Linked DNA regions of Notamacropus eugenii. The protein of the gene in region 1 purifies or fractionates together with the protein of each later gene. This does not show direct contact. Links are inferred from orthologs where the notes say so. Each region holds a gene or a part of one and is shown in the gene's direction. Other genes may lie near its edges.

What was found.
Region 2: the proteins of NUP133 (region 1) and NUP37 purify together in Homo sapiens (affinity purification with mass spectrometry; 4 studies listed by BioGRID and IntAct, with this or other methods). This does not show direct contact. The link is inferred for Notamacropus eugenii from reciprocal best matches to the Homo sapiens genes NUP133 and NUP37.

Annotation. Positions count from the first base shown.
Region 1 is NC_092873.1:388,637,115-388,644,625, forward strand, and holds the start of NUP133 (nuclear pore complex protein Nup133), read left to right. Parts: upstream 1-4,063; 5' UTR 4,064-4,079; coding exon 4,080-4,264; intron 4,265-4,357; exon of another isoform or gene 4,358-4,510; intron 4,511-5,364; exon of another isoform or gene 5,365-6,186; intron 6,187-6,398; coding exon 6,399-6,517; intron 6,518-7,511. UniProt on the Homo sapiens protein: Involved in poly(A)+ RNA transport. Involved in nephrogenesis.
Region 2 is NC_092874.1:285,065,983-285,073,680, reverse strand, and holds the start of NUP37 (nucleoporin Nup37), read left to right. Parts: upstream 1-4,540; 5' UTR 4,541-4,561; coding exon 4,562-4,729; intron 4,730-7,698. UniProt on the Homo sapiens protein: Component of the Nup107-160 subcomplex of the nuclear pore complex (NPC). The Nup107-160 subcomplex is required for the assembly of a functional NPC.

The DNA of each region.
Region 1 (7,511 bases):
AAAAATTTTAAAGTTGTTTACTGTCATTTATAATTATTACTATTAGTTATTAAACTCCCAAGCCTCATGCTTGGGAGACACACTTTGTCAGTATTAAAAGCTCCGTTTGAAGCATGTGTGAGAACACACAGAATTTGGAAAGGGATAGCCAATGAGGCATATATATAAATTCATTATAAGTTTTGTTATTTGGGGAACTATACTAGGATTATTATTGTTTGTTCTTAACAGGATTCTCTGTTCAGCAATTGTCCTAAGCCATTTACCACAACATCTAAACAGGACTCTTCTATTAAGATTGTGTGGACTTGACAAACCTTGGGAACAATGCAACCAAAATGTAATACCTTGGGAATGTCCCTTTTGGGCATGATCCTGCTCCCACTGCTGGGATATCAGGCCCCAGTTATCAACCCCCCCTCTTGAAAATAGTTTCCTGGACCTAATTCAGACCATTGTGGAAACCTTTGAGGTATCCGATTATTGGATTTGTGGGGGACCTCAGCGGTTAAGTCAATGGCCATGGGTAGCAGTACTGCTGAGTTCAGTCTGGATTTTAAGTAATAGATCTGTAGTACATGACAGAACAAGATTCTGGATAAGCCAAGAGAAACACCAATGGTTTTTGTCCGAATCAGTTCCGGGTGAACATTGTTTAAATTAAACAGGACCCGAATTGCAGGAGACATGGTTGGGAGAAAGTAATTGTAAGTGGACATTCACACAAAGACCAGAAACCCTGGCTCGTATTGATTGTGCCCAGTATGCAAACAGATGGGATCAGAACAGTATTACCTGCTCAGATGGTAGGGTGATTCCCTGTACCCATTTATTTTTCCCATCCTCTTCATAGGAGGAGAGAACAAAAGGGGAATATCACAGGAGTTGCGGGTATAAGTTTTACAACCCCTCTGATCCCAGAAAACAATGTGAAGGGGGTCACGACTATGACTATTTGTGGAGTTGCATATATATGAATAGTACTAAGAATAACACAGAATATAGAGAATGGGTATGGAAGCAGGAGAATGGAACACATAGGATGATGTTTGATACTTTCTGGAGTGTAATCAATAGAACTGGGGAGAATTATCAACATTGTATATGGAAGAGGAAACAACAACTATGGAAGTGCAAGTCAGAGATCCTGAAAGGGGGACCATTAGGCCCGGATGATGTGAAGTACTTTCTGGCTGTGGATTATAGAGTAAGACTGTTTCTAGAGGAAAATCCTGCTTTGAGAGGACATTATTGGATATGTGGACAGACAGCTTATACTCACCTTCTGCTAAACTGGAGAGGTGTTTGTTACATTGGATTGGTGAGACCTAAATTCTTTTTCTTGCCTGAATCAGGGAAACAGCATCTAGGAGTCCCTCTATATGATGATCTAGCCAAAAGGAAGAGGAACATTGACACCTCCCTCACTCAGACTGGAAATGCAAATGGGTGGGGTGACACTTGGCCTCCTGAGAGGATAATTAGAGAGTATGGGCCTGCAACTTGGGCTCAAGAAGGGAGTTGGGGTTATAGAACCCCTATATATCTATTAAATAGACTAATCAGACTCCAAGCAGTAGTTGAAATTATAACCAATCAAATAGCAAAGGCTTTGGACTTATTGGCTGATCAAGCCACACAAACTAGGGAAGCAGTACTGCAACATAGACTGATCTTAGATTATTTACTTGCAGAAGAAGGGGGAGTTTGTGGGAAATTCAATTTATCTATATGTTGCTTAAAAATTGATGATAATGGAAGGACAGAGAAAGATCACCAAGAATATCAGGAAAGTTGCCCGCGTTCTGGTACAAATTTGAAACTCCCTTTTCAATACGTCTTGGTGGTCCTGGTTTGAAGGGAGCTGGTGGGAAGAGATTACTGTGGTTTGGCCTCATAGCAATTAGTGGTATCATATTACTTCCTATTTGTTTACCTTGTTTGATTTCACTTATTACTAAAATAGTTAGAAATTCTCTCCTAAAACTTGCTAGAGTAGAAGAGAAGACCAAAGGAGCCATTTGGTTGATGACACTAAAGAAGGAAGGATGGGCATCTGTGGAGACAAAAGACAGGAATGACCCTGATTGGGATGAGGAGATTAATAGACAGTGTGAGATCATGTTACAGAACTTTGGTTGAAATATCTGTGAGAAGTCTTCAGGTTAATAAATAAGAGGAGGGATTGAGTGGGATAGTGAAGACTTCTCAGATTGTAATTCTTCTCCCAGGGGTGAAGTAAGACCTAGAGGCTCAAGGTTACAATATTTTTAGAATAGAATAGTTCCATATAAGGATGTAAAACTGTGTAGTGTATTAGGGTCTTAATGATTGGATAAAACTTACATAATTCCTCAATGTCTTCATTTCAAAAGGGATTGGTTAGAGTTCGTGTCTAGAATGTAAGATCATATTCTCAGCTAATGAGGATAATGGTCAGTGGGGGAGGAAGGACTTGCGTTAGGGTCTATATAAATCACTGCCTTTTCTTTGTTATTGTCTTTCCTACTCCAGATGAACTGGTGTAGGATTGTCCTGATTCTCGAGAATCTAGTAAATAAACTTTCTGTCATCACTTGGAGAGGCCTCTGAGTAATTGATTTAAGTAGGGACCTGAGCCATCCCACACACTTTTGTTCATTAATGGACCACTGAAATGCCCAGAGCAACCATTTCAAACTTCTTTTCCCCCTGAAACTACCCTCTACCACCTGCTTCTGCCCTAACCAGAGAACCTGACATATTATATTGCTGAAAAGACTAAAACCATCCCATTGTGAGTCCTTTCTTCTCAATTCTGCACCCCAAATGCCCTCAACTTCATCTCCCATTTTTTCCTTTTTTACTACAATATTTACAGGAAGCAATGTCCCTTTCCTAGCCAAGGCTAGAACCCTCTACTTGTGCCCTTGATTTTATTCCACCATTATCTTCTCCCATTTTCAATCACTATGCATTATCTTCTTAACTCTAAAAAAAATTCTTTATTTGACCTCATTAACCAATTAGAGAGCATTTATTAAACACTTACTGTGTGCCAGGCACTTTGTTAAGCGCAGGGATACACAGAAAGGCAAACGATATTCCCTGCCTTCAAGGCGTTTCCTGCAGAATGGAGACTATGTTCAAACAAGATAAACTAAGGAGAGAATCCACAGGATTTCAGGGTCAGGAAATGACGTGACAGCAGAGGTGCGGGGATGAGGGGACCTGCACCAGGGTGGTATAGGGCCAGGGGACAAAAGAGGTCACACCGAAGAGACCCAGGAAGAGTCTCGGCATTGCTAGAGGTCACTGATAACAGGCAGCGGTCTACACTAGGATCCTGGTCCTGTCTCCACAGCATCTCTCCATCCGCCTCGGAAAGACTGGGATAGTAACAGCCCGCGCTTACACGTAGCTTGAAGGTTTGCAGAGCGCTTTACTCGTTCAGGGCTTCTCCTGTTGTCTCTTTACCCTCACAACGCCGTGAGGAAGATGCTGGTCTTATCCCCACTTTATAGAGGAGGAAACTGAGGCAGAGGCTAAGCGACTTGTCCACGGCTACACTGCTTAAGTATCAGAGGCAGGATTCGAACTCGCATCTTCTGGTTCCAAGTTCAAAAATGAGGATTTGATGCCTTTTCCGTACACTGGCGGCTCGCGGGGCCTTTCTTGAACTCCACGCGCCGCTTGCTCTCGTGCTTCTCACAAATCTAAAGCCTGGAGTCCTTCATAGTGACCACACTAGTCTGGATTAGGCCAAAGGGGCGCACTTGAGGACCTAGAAAGCCACAGGCCGCAGGTTCCCTATCCCAACCCCACGCGGTAGCTTCAGGGTTTTTGTCTAAAACCCACCGAGTTCTTCAGCCTAGAAAACAAGCGTGACAGACCCAAGTTCCGGGACGAAGGAGGCGGGATTTCCGGTTCCACTTCCGATCTCACCCCCGTCAAACGCACGCGCCAGACCCAATCATGCAGCTGGAAAGCGCCGGCGGGTGAGGGCGTCGTGACGTCATCGCAACGCGCCTCGTTTTCAACCGGCCCGCGTTCCTTTCAGCTCCCGTGTTTGGGATCCCTACGGTTCCTCCCGTCTCGTCATGTTCCCTACTGCCTCCGCCTCCCCGCGGACCCCAGGAGCTGGGGTCCGCAGGGGCCCATTGGGGGGAACCACGCCGGTCTCCACGCCCCGCGCGGGGGGTAGGAAAGGCCTGACCCTGGGGTCCGCCGTGGGCTCGCCCGGGCTGTTCTCGCCGGTTAGCCGCCGCAGCTCCCTGAGTGCGCGGTAAGCGGATTCTTTTCTCCCCTCCCCCCCCTCCTTTACGTCAGCTGTTGCGTGGGTCGGGCCCGGACATCCCGAGGGGCCGCAGGGGCAGCCTCCCCGCGCGTTTGGGCTCGCGAACGGGCTGACCATCCACCTGGGGTGGGGCCTGTGTCCCAGTGGCCCTCGGCCTGGCCCTGCCCAGCGAGTGCTCGGGGCCCTGAACTGAAGCGTGCCATGGCAAGGGGACAGGAAAGTGCCCCTCCCCCTGTAAGCTTTCTCCCGCCCACCATCAGAGCAGCCCTGATCCTAACGATCCATGCTGGTTGAACTCTAAGGTTTACGAAGTGCTTTCCGCCCCAGACCCCAGCGAAGCCCGCTGTGCAAGGGGCCCCCTTTTACTGAGGCTCAGTCAGTCAGCTAGCACTGATCAGACCTCGGGAAGCATACACTGCGGGAGTGGGGGGGGGGGGTCCGTGTGTGCAGAGACAGCATGCCCGTAACTAAGTGCCCCCGAGACACCGAGACGGGGGAGGCTGAGTGGTGAGGGAGCCAGGCTGCAGGCACCGAGAGCTCGGAGGGTGGGAAGAGGCTGAAGAGGCCGGCGTCTCCGGTTCTTAGAGTTGGGAGGGGATGAGAACCCCCGCTGACCATGTCAAGGATGCAGATCCAAGACACTTTTTCTTAGGGTTTTTGTTTTGGTTGGTTTTCTTTCACAGCATGCCGTATGTTTTGCATGACCAGTGGTGTAAAGCCTCTGTCAAATTGCTTGCCTTCTCAGTGGGGGTAGGGGAGAATTTGAAACTCAGAATTTGAAAGGAAAAAAGAATGTTAAAATTGTTTTTACATGTAATTTGGAAAGCATGAAATATCAAATAAGATTTGAAGAACAAAAGTAAAGGAGTGGTTAGAGTTAGATACTTGGTGGTGCTGGCTTCTTCCTGTTTAGCTTTCATAACCAAAGCTTGAGGGGTGGGAGTGGAATCTATCTTTATCTTAGAAATTTCTTTTTTGAGCAGAATTTGCTACAGTGGTTTTCCTTCTTCTAGAAGTAGGAAGGCTGCAGATTGGTGCTTCTGTAGCTCTTTTGGGAAAAATTACTTTTATAGTTTCTATGGAAAAGAAACAAGCATTGTGAAGAAGTGACTTCATCTCTAATCCATCCAGTTTGGACAAAATGCTCTGCAAAATGTTTTTGTTGTGTTACTTGTTGCTTTAGTGAAAATTGGTAGTGAACAAGAACCATGTCTTCTTTAAGTTTCATTTTATTTGTTCTTCAGCTGCCCATGTTGAAATAACAACCCTTCGGATAACGTAAGGCCCCATAATAACAACAGCACAAAGAGCTTTACCTATCTCATTTGATTCTAATTACACTCCTGTGAGGAGGTAGGTGCTATTGTTAGCCTTATTTTACAGCTAGTAAGTATCTGAGGCACTACTGAATTGATGTTTTCCTAAGTCCAAGTCTAGCACTTTACCAAACACTGTCCCACCTAGCTACTTAAAACCGTATTATAGACTTTTCATGTTTCAGTGAGAGCACTGTGTACCTGGGAAAGATATTTGAACTTCATCGCAGGATCCTTGGAATAATACTATTTACTGTAAAACGTAAGGTTCCTGGGGACAATGATTTTTTTTAATCCTTTTATCTCTTATATTGTAGAGTGTTGTATCTGAAATAAATGCTCTGTAGATGTCGAAATGGAAAATTTACTGCATTTTGAATAAAAAATGAGAAGAAAATATTTCTTTCCACTTTACCATATTTACTGTAAAAAATAGTATGACAACAAAATTCTCTTGTATTAGATGCTAATTGATTCATTAGTTTTCTCATGTAGTTTTGAGTGATTCATTAGTTTTCCTATGTTTCTTTTCTCATAATTTTAGAGCTAGAAGGGATCATCTATTCCAGTCACATTTTACTGAGGCTTTGAGAGGTAAATTACTTGCCCAAGTCCAGATAGCTAGTTATTAGCAGAGCTGAAATTAGAATCTGGGCTTCTTAACTACCAGGAAGGTGCTTTTCCTATAATACCTCATTTTTCATTGTCCCCCTGCTTTTATTTTTTTTTTTGAGCTAAAATTATGTCAAAGTAAGTGGAGGAAATGAAATTATAAAACAAATGACAAGTTATATTATTTCATTTAGCGGAACACCCACAAGAATGGTACAGCACCAGTCTGTCAGTGAGACTATCAACTATGATGTGAAAACTTTTGGATCTTCTCTTCCTGTTAAAGTTATGGAAGCTCTAGCACTGGCTGAAGGTAGGTGATATTGGTTATTTTTCCGTTTTAGAAACTTTAAAAGCCTAAGCTAAGAATAAAGGATAAGAATTTATGATTTGCATCTATATGTATTTGACTCTGCTTTGAGGGATGTAACTAGTAACATCAATAACAAAATTAAACCTTAACCACTTTAACCTTTATTTAGCCAAAATCTAAACCAATATCAAAAGTTGACTAATAAGAATCATAATAGTTTCAACTCTGCAAAATAGGTCAATAAGATTTTGAAATGAAGGATATTAACTATTTCAGTAGAAACCAAGGAGAACATAGATATTAATGAAGTCTTTCCTAAAGTCTTATTGCCATAATCTTTGGATCACACACAGTGAAGTGAGAATCTGCTCACACACATTTGTTCTGTGATCTTTGACATATTTATACAAAGAAGATTCTTCCTTCAGAATGGGAAATCTGTAATAAATTCTATAGAAGAAAATTCCAAAAGGAATAGAAAAATATTCCATCTCTCTTCCCTGTCCTTTAATCATTCGTGACAATAGAGAGAATGTAGAAAAAGACAAAGTTCAAGGTTAGCCACATTGTCCATTTAAGAGATTCCTCTCTAAATTATGACCTTTCTGGTTTTCTTAACATTTCACCTTCCCACATACTCTCCACTGTGACACTGACCTCCTTGCTGTTCTTTGCAAATGATACTCTCTGCATTTTCACTGGCTGTCCTTATGCTTGGAACTTTTTTCCTCTTCTGCCTCCTGGTTTCTGTGTTTCTTAATCAAGTGTCAGCTAAAGTCCTGCCTTTCAGGAAAAGTGTTTCCCAGTCCTCCTTAATTCTATTGCCTTTTTTTTTTTTTAATTGTCTCCTACTCACCCTGTTTGTGCATAGCTGTTTGTCTGTTGCCTCTCCATTAGACAGTGAGTTCCTTGAGGACAGGGGCTGTTTTTTGTCTTTGAATTCTCAGCATTTAACACAGTGCTGAGCACATAGTGGGTATGTAAGAAATGCTTT
Region 2 (7,698 bases), on another chromosome or scaffold:
CTTGCCTGATTCCTGTGCCCAAAAGAGCAGAGAGCGACCAGTGGTGTCAAAGGCAAATGGAAACCTGCCCTTAAGCATACTCACTAAGAAAACCACAAATGAACATTATTTGTGTTGTATTGTATTTTTATTTTTTTGTTATATGTCTCCCAATTAATTTTAATCGGGTTGCCTTGGAATTTTACAAGGTCACAATTTTGAAGCGTCTAGCAAAAAAAACCAGCCTATTCAGAAATATTTCCCCTCCGAACTTTCTTTTCCTAGTCTCTCCCATGCTGGCATCGACAATGAGCTTCTATTAGAAAGATTATCAGCAGGAACAGGACAAATCACTCACTCTGGCTCAGTTTCTTCCTAGTACCTACTGGATCTAACACCACAAACTGTTGAAAGAATCAGTTGAGATTAAAGTTGTTGGAAGAATCCCTGTGGTGCAACAACCCTTTGTATAACACTTTCAACACAGTAGGGCAATCTTTTATTCCTCCCTAAGTGATTTCCTCATGCACTCCCCACAAATTCTTTTTCAAACTACATTACAGAGGAAATACACAAATGAATAAGAGATGTCATAGTCTCTGCTCTTAAGAATGAATATGATCTGGGTCAGAAGACAAACACATTCAAAAACTGAATGCATGGGGGACATCTACAAAAAATAAAAATAAAAAAAAATCACTTAAGGAAGCAAGTATACATACATCGTGCTGGAAGAAATATATAATCAGATTTGGTATAAGGTCAGTGCCTTCTTTAACTACTGAAATGTAGCTTTTGCACTGTCTGCACTCCTTCCCCCATTATGCCCTCCATCATTACCCCCCTATCTTTCAGAATTTTTCATTTTCTTCAAGAATCAGCTCAAACTCTGTCTCCTACAAGAAGACCCCAAATGTCAGTGCTTTGCCCCTAAAACTATGTTCTTTTGTGAGTGTGTATGGTGCTTTCCACCTACTTTTTCTCCCATTGGAAGATCCTAGAGGGCAGGACCTATTTCACTCTTGACTTTATATCCTGGCACAGAATAGGTACTTAATAAATGTTTGCCCATTGATTCTTTGATTCTGACATTTTCCTTTTTATAGTACCAGCATAACGGAAGATGAACTGGAATTGAACACTGCCTCCAGAGTCTTTGCCCTAGTCACTTTCCAGACTGGCTATTTCTTGTCAGGGAGAGCCTGAACCTGTTACTGCATCTATAAAATGGGAAGATTTTCACTGCCTACTTCACATGAAATCATGCGTATAAAGATACATATACCATGCACAAGAACATGGCAAAGTACACACTGTAGCTATTATTATCATTCAGCAAGTGAGCCAAGGTTCCAGCTAAAAGCATTAATGACAAATACATTTATATAAAGCTTTTAGGTTTGTAGTCTTCTTATCACCATGAGGTCTGAAGCCATAGGTAATTCAATAATTGGAAGGGATGAGTCCCTCAGATTTTCCCATAGTACACTAGGTCTCTCCTTTGTCTAACATGCTCCACTTTGTATTTGGGTACAAATCACAACATCTTGACAACTGAAATCACCCATATAGGAAAAGCATCTCCACGATAACATACTTAATAAGGAGTCATCCAGCTGCTGCTTGGACTCTTTAAAGACAGGCAACTAACCGCCAGCAGTAATGCTAATAGCATTTAGGGAACACTTTAAGGTTTGTAAAAGGCCTTATATTTTTTCTTATTTGAGTCTCACAAATGAGATATGTGAATCCTGTGAGGTACATGCAACTGTTTTTTCACAATTTACACCTGAGGAAACTGAAGCTGAAAAAGTTAGGTAATTTGCCCAGAGTCACATGGTAAGTACCTGAGGCAAGATTTAAATTCAGGTCTTGCTGAGTCAAGGTCCATATAGTTAAAAGTTTGTGGGGCAGCTGAGTGGTATAGAATGGATAGAAAGCCAGCCCTGGAGTCAGGATGATATGAGCTCAAATCTAGCCTCAGACACTTACTAGCCATGTGACCCTGGGCAAGTTTACCCTGTTTGCCTCAGTTTCCTCATCTGTAAAATGAGCTGGAGAAGGAAATGGCAAACCACTCCAATGTCTCTGCCAAGAAAACCCCAAATGGGGTCATGAAGAATTGGACACAACTACACAACAAAAATAAAAACTGTAGTTTGTATGTTACTTATGTGCAGGGATTAATGCCTTTTCCCATGTTCTTATCTCTAGGCTATAAAAAGTATCCTTTTTGTTACAAAAATTTTCTTTTGCCGAGTAGATACTTTAAAAACTATGCTGAAATGGGGTAGGTGATGTTTTGTTTTTTGGACTGGATATGTGATCTCATTAATATGAAGAACTCTAAGGCAAAGAAACTCTAGTTACTGGATAAAGGTGAACCAATATCTTCTCTGCAAATGAATCTTAGGAATGTGGCCTAGACCAGACATGTCAGACAACCAAGGACCTCACATGCTTCCCAACACACCCGAGTATGGCCTGAAGTAAAATAAATATAAGTAGGAAATACTTCATATATAACAATGTAATATAATTATATAATATACAGCATATAGTAATTATTAAGAAATACTTAAGAAAAATTTTCAAATGCAATAAAACATAATTACATTTTAAAACTCAATCAATATACTGCCTGCAGGAATCCTTACATATGCATTCATGGCCTAGTTTTGAGTTTGACACCACTGGCCTAGAACACTAACAGATTAAGTGAACCACCCAGGGTCACACAGCTTATGTGAAACCCAGGTTTTCCTGACACCACGATCTTGCCTTTCTTTTGTACATTTCTGGGGAGCACCTAACTTGTTATTTCATTGGTACAGAGGATGTGCTGAAGCTAGCTCAGACCAACTAGTGAGAGCTGGCTGTTAAATTTTCAGTGTGAACATTTAAACCTCTAAAACACTACCAATCAGTCCTGAGTTTATTGTTTGCTTAAGAAAGTGAGAGAGAAAATAATGCAGGTTCAGCTTAAAAGTGTGTCTGAAACAGCTGGTCCTGGAGTCAGGTAAGACCTGCGTTCACATCCATCCTTAGACACTTCCTAGCTGTGTGACCTCAGGCCTGCCATTTAACCTCTGCTGCCTCACTTTGCTCAACTATGATATGGTGATAAGAGCATCCACTTTGTAGTTGGGAGCATATAGCACAGTACCTGGCACAGTCCTCACCCCCAATGCATTTTTTTTTCCTCCTGAGAGTTGGTTGTTAATGTTGATCAGCAACTATGTTGCAACTTGCCCAAGGCAGACTGATTCTCTATCCCATATGCCAAGCTGATGCTGATGGAGGTAGTGGTAGTGGTAGAGACGGTAGTAGCAGCAGCAGCAGTAATAGAAGTACTAGTACCACTAGTAGTAGTAGCAGCAGCAGCTGCAGTAAAAGTAGAAGTAGTAGCAGCAGTACAAGTAGCAATAGAAGTAGCAGTAACAGTAGCAGCAGTAGTAGTAACAGTAGCAGCAGTAGTAACAGTAGCAGCAGTAGTAGTAACAGTAGCAGTAGTAGTAACAGTAGCAGTAGTAGTAGCAGCAGCTGCAGTAAAAGTAGCAATATTAATAGTAGAAGTAGTAGCAGCAGTAGTAGCACCAGTAGCAGTAGAAGTAGCTGTAGAAGTAGCAGTAACAGTAGCAGCAGCAGTAGTAACAGTAGCAGTAGTAGTAGCAGCAGCTGCAGTAAAAGTAGCAATATTAACAGCAGAAGTAGTAGCAGCAGTAGCAGCAAGGGGCTTTTGCAGCACTTAGCACAGTGTCTGGCATACAGTAGGAGCTTAATAAATGTTTACCAAAATGAACTGAATTGCCATCAAGGTCACAAAGGTGGTAAGTGGCGGGGGCAGGGATCATAGCAGGGATTGTGGATGCGGGTGTCTTGGGCATCATGCCCTCCCCTCCCCCACTGCTAGTGTGCTCCCTACAGAACTGGCCTGAAGTCTGGAGGACCTGAGTTCAAATCCGACCCCAGGTACTCCCTGGCTGTGTGACCCTGGGCAAGTCACTTCCCTTTTTTGCCTCAGTTTCCTCATCTGTCAAAGGAGCTGGAGAAGGAGATGGCAAACTGGCCAGAAAACCCCAGACTGGGTCACAAGCACCATGACAATGATCATTATTGGGGGGGGGGGGGGTCCTCGGGGGAGTGGCCCTGCCTCGGTTTCCCTATCCGTGGGGTGGGGATGATGATGACAAGCACCGACACCCCCTCCCCAAGACTGGGGCGGGTCGCTAGGCCGAGCAGAAAGGGCCCCACAAAGCGCCTTGCATTTTACAAGTGAGGAAACTGAGGCCCCCAACTTGCCCAAGGTCCCCGGACTGGGAAGTGACGGCGGCAGGATTTGAACCCGGGTACCCTCGGTCTCCTCTCCTCCCGCCCCCCGTGCCCCGCGAGCTCACCTGACCAACCCCACCGCCCGCCCGGGTAGTCACCGGCTCGCGCCGCCTCAGCTGCTTCTGCTGCGGCTCCGGGAGATTTAAACTTCGGCTCCGCGAGCGGTTGGAGGCCACGGACCAATCAGCGGCGGCGCCCTCTGACCCGGAAGCGCTAGCGCGCGAGTCGCCGCGCCGGGGCCAGAGCGCGCATGCGCCGGAGGCGGAGGCGGCACTGTGGAGTTTACCGTGGGTCAGGAAGCCAGATCGACCAAATTTTCGTCTCCTCCTCTTCCTTTCCTTCTCTGCCTCCTCCTCCTCCTCACTCGAGTCTCACCGCCGTCGGGGAAGTAAGTGCCCTTGTCTTCCTCATTCCTCAGGTGAGGAAACTGAGGCCAGGAAGAGGGCGGGGGCAAGAGCTGGTACCGCCCTCCCAGGCCGGGGCTAGACCCCCCTCATGATAATAATAATGGTTGTTATCGTAGCCAGATAATTGTTATTTATTCTATGTGTTCATGTGCACGTAACCCTTTATAGACACGAATTCATATTTGTAGAGGTGTTTATATGTTACTTATTTCTATACACGTTTACATGTTCAGAGCTTCTCCATCTGCTGTAATGAATGGTTCCCCCCATGGAGGGTGTGCTGGCGGCTGATGCTGCACGTGTGTTTCTTTGGTGTTGATTATTAGGCCAAAATGAGCACAGGCAGCAGAGAACTGATCCATGCTCTGTTGCATCTCGACCGCACTGAGTGCACAATCGTCTGCAAACGGAAAATCATGCACCAACACTCCCTCCACTTTGGTCTTGGCTTGTAACCTTTTCAAATTGAAGAATTTGCCATCAGTAGCGTAGTTGACCTTGATGCTGGGTTCATCCTCACTGAAAGCATTTGACAACATGACTGAAAACGTCATGCTAAAAAAGGATGTTAGCAAGCACACAGCCCTGTTTCACTCCATTGGTGACTGGGAAGGCACTAGAGCATTGTCTACTGTCCAGAACCCGGGCAAACAGTGTCATCATGAAATTGATGTACAATATTGATGAACTTCTCTGGACAACCAAATGTTGACATAATTTTCCATAAGCCCTCACCACTAACTGTATCAAAGGCCTTGATCAGATCTACAGACGTCCTGCTCCTGGCATTTCTCCTGGAGTTCAGGTAGCATGTAGTTATGCCAGTTGTCTGTGTATTGAGTATATACAAATACAGTGCCTTAAGGTTTGTGAAGCACTTTATAAATATGATCTCATTTGGCCCTCACAACAACCTTGGGAGGCAGGTGCCATGATGATCCCCATTTAACAGATGAGGAAATTGAGGCAACTCAATTTGAGTCAACTTGACTTATCCCTGAGTCACACTGCTAGTAAGTTATTAAGGTTGGATTTGAACTCAGATATCATATCCACCCGGCTGCCTGTAGGATCCTAGAACTAGAGCTGGAAGAGGCCTCAGAGGCTGTTTAGTGGAACCCCCTTATTTTGCAGGTGGGGAAAATGAGGCTTAGAGTTTTAAGCTCATCGACCTAGTGCTGGGAGGGGCTTCAGAGTCCATTTGGTACAGCCTCATTTTAGAGAGGAGCAAACTGAGGCTTAACAAAGGCGCTCTAGCTTTGGAGCTAGAAGAGCCTCAGAATACATCTCTTCCAACTGCCTCATTCTACAGAAGAGAAAACATCTAAGACTCTAGGCTTCTACTTCCTCACCTGTAAAATGAAGGGTTTGGATTGGTTGCCTTCTGAAGTCCCTTCCAACTCTAACTCTAGGTCTGAGGACCACAGATTTAGACCCAGAAGGGGTCTCAGAGATCATCTCATCCATTCACCTGTTTTGTTTTATTTGATTCATTGACAAGCATTTGTTTTCTCTTTATCCTGCCCTCAGTTTAAAAGAAAAAGAAAACTCTTGTAACACATATCCACCACAAATCCCCACATTGTCTCATTCTGCATCTTGAATCCATCTTCTTTCCATCAGGAGGTGAGTCCTCTGAAATCAGGACTAGTTGTTACTTTGATCAGAATTCTTACATCTTTTGTAGTTGTCTTTATGATGTTGCTAATGTATAAATTCTGATAGTGGTCACTTCATTCTGCATCAGTTCATAAAAGTCTTCACAATTTTTTCATCATCTCTTAGTACAAAATAGTATTCCATAATCTGTTCGCTTATTCCCCAATTGGTGGGTACCTCTTACTTTCTAGTTCTTTGGCTCTGCAAATGAGCTATAGATATTTTTATATGTATGGATCCTTTTCCTCTTCCTTTGATCTGGACTGTTGGCCTAGTACAGGTATGACCAAATCAGTATGCAAAGGGTATGTTTACTGACTTTTGGTCATGGTTTCAAATTGATTTCCAGAATGTCTGGACTAAGTCACTGTCACGCCAGTAGTTCATTAATATACCTAATTTCCTTCCGGCCCCTCCATTGCTGTAGTTTTCCTTTTTTGTTGTTGTATTTGCCAATCTGGCGGAACCTCAGGGTTGCTTTGTCTTTCTCTAATTACCAGTGATTTGCTGCATTTTTCCTTATGGCTGTTGATAGCTTCAGTGTCTTCCTTTTAGAAGTGCCTGCTCACATGTTTTGACCATTTCTCAGATGAAGCATGACTCATGTTCTTATGAATCTGAGGCAGTCCCTTTTATAAAAGTCTTTGAATTGAGCCCTTTATCAAAGAACTTGGCTGTAGTAATTTTCCCCCAGTTAACTCTTTCCCTTCTAATTTTAGCTTCACTGGTTTTATTTATGCAAAATAAATTTTAATTTTTTTTAATCAAAATGGTCTCTTCATCCATGAACTCTTCCCTATTCACAGATCTGAAAGAAAATTTCTAACTTAGTCCTCTAAATTGTTTATGACATCACCTTTTTATAGCTTAGTCATGCATTCATTTAGAAGTGATCCTTTTTGTGTGCTTTGGTTTACCTTTATTTCTCACAGAACATGACCAAGATGAGAGGTCTGAGTTTCCCCAAACAAAATTAGGTTTTAGAGACTAAGTTTGAAGCAACTGAAATGTTGTCATATACTATGGATCATGCTCCAAGTATCCCGTCATCCAAGTGTCCTGAGATTGAGACTTTTCCACAGAGAACTAGCCTGGAGTAACCGTAATGTTACTCAGAGTGTGTGTCTCCAACCACAAAGATCTTGTCCTTTGAGTGTTACATAGTTACTTACGCTGACCTTTGTTTTCCTCCTCCTTCCTGGAGGTGAGTGGACCAAAGGCATGCACATTGCACACGTTTTCCAAACGCACCACGGATGGGCTGACGTTTTATTTTCCTCCCTCACATACCCCATCCATACTAAGGATCATCCTGATTTTA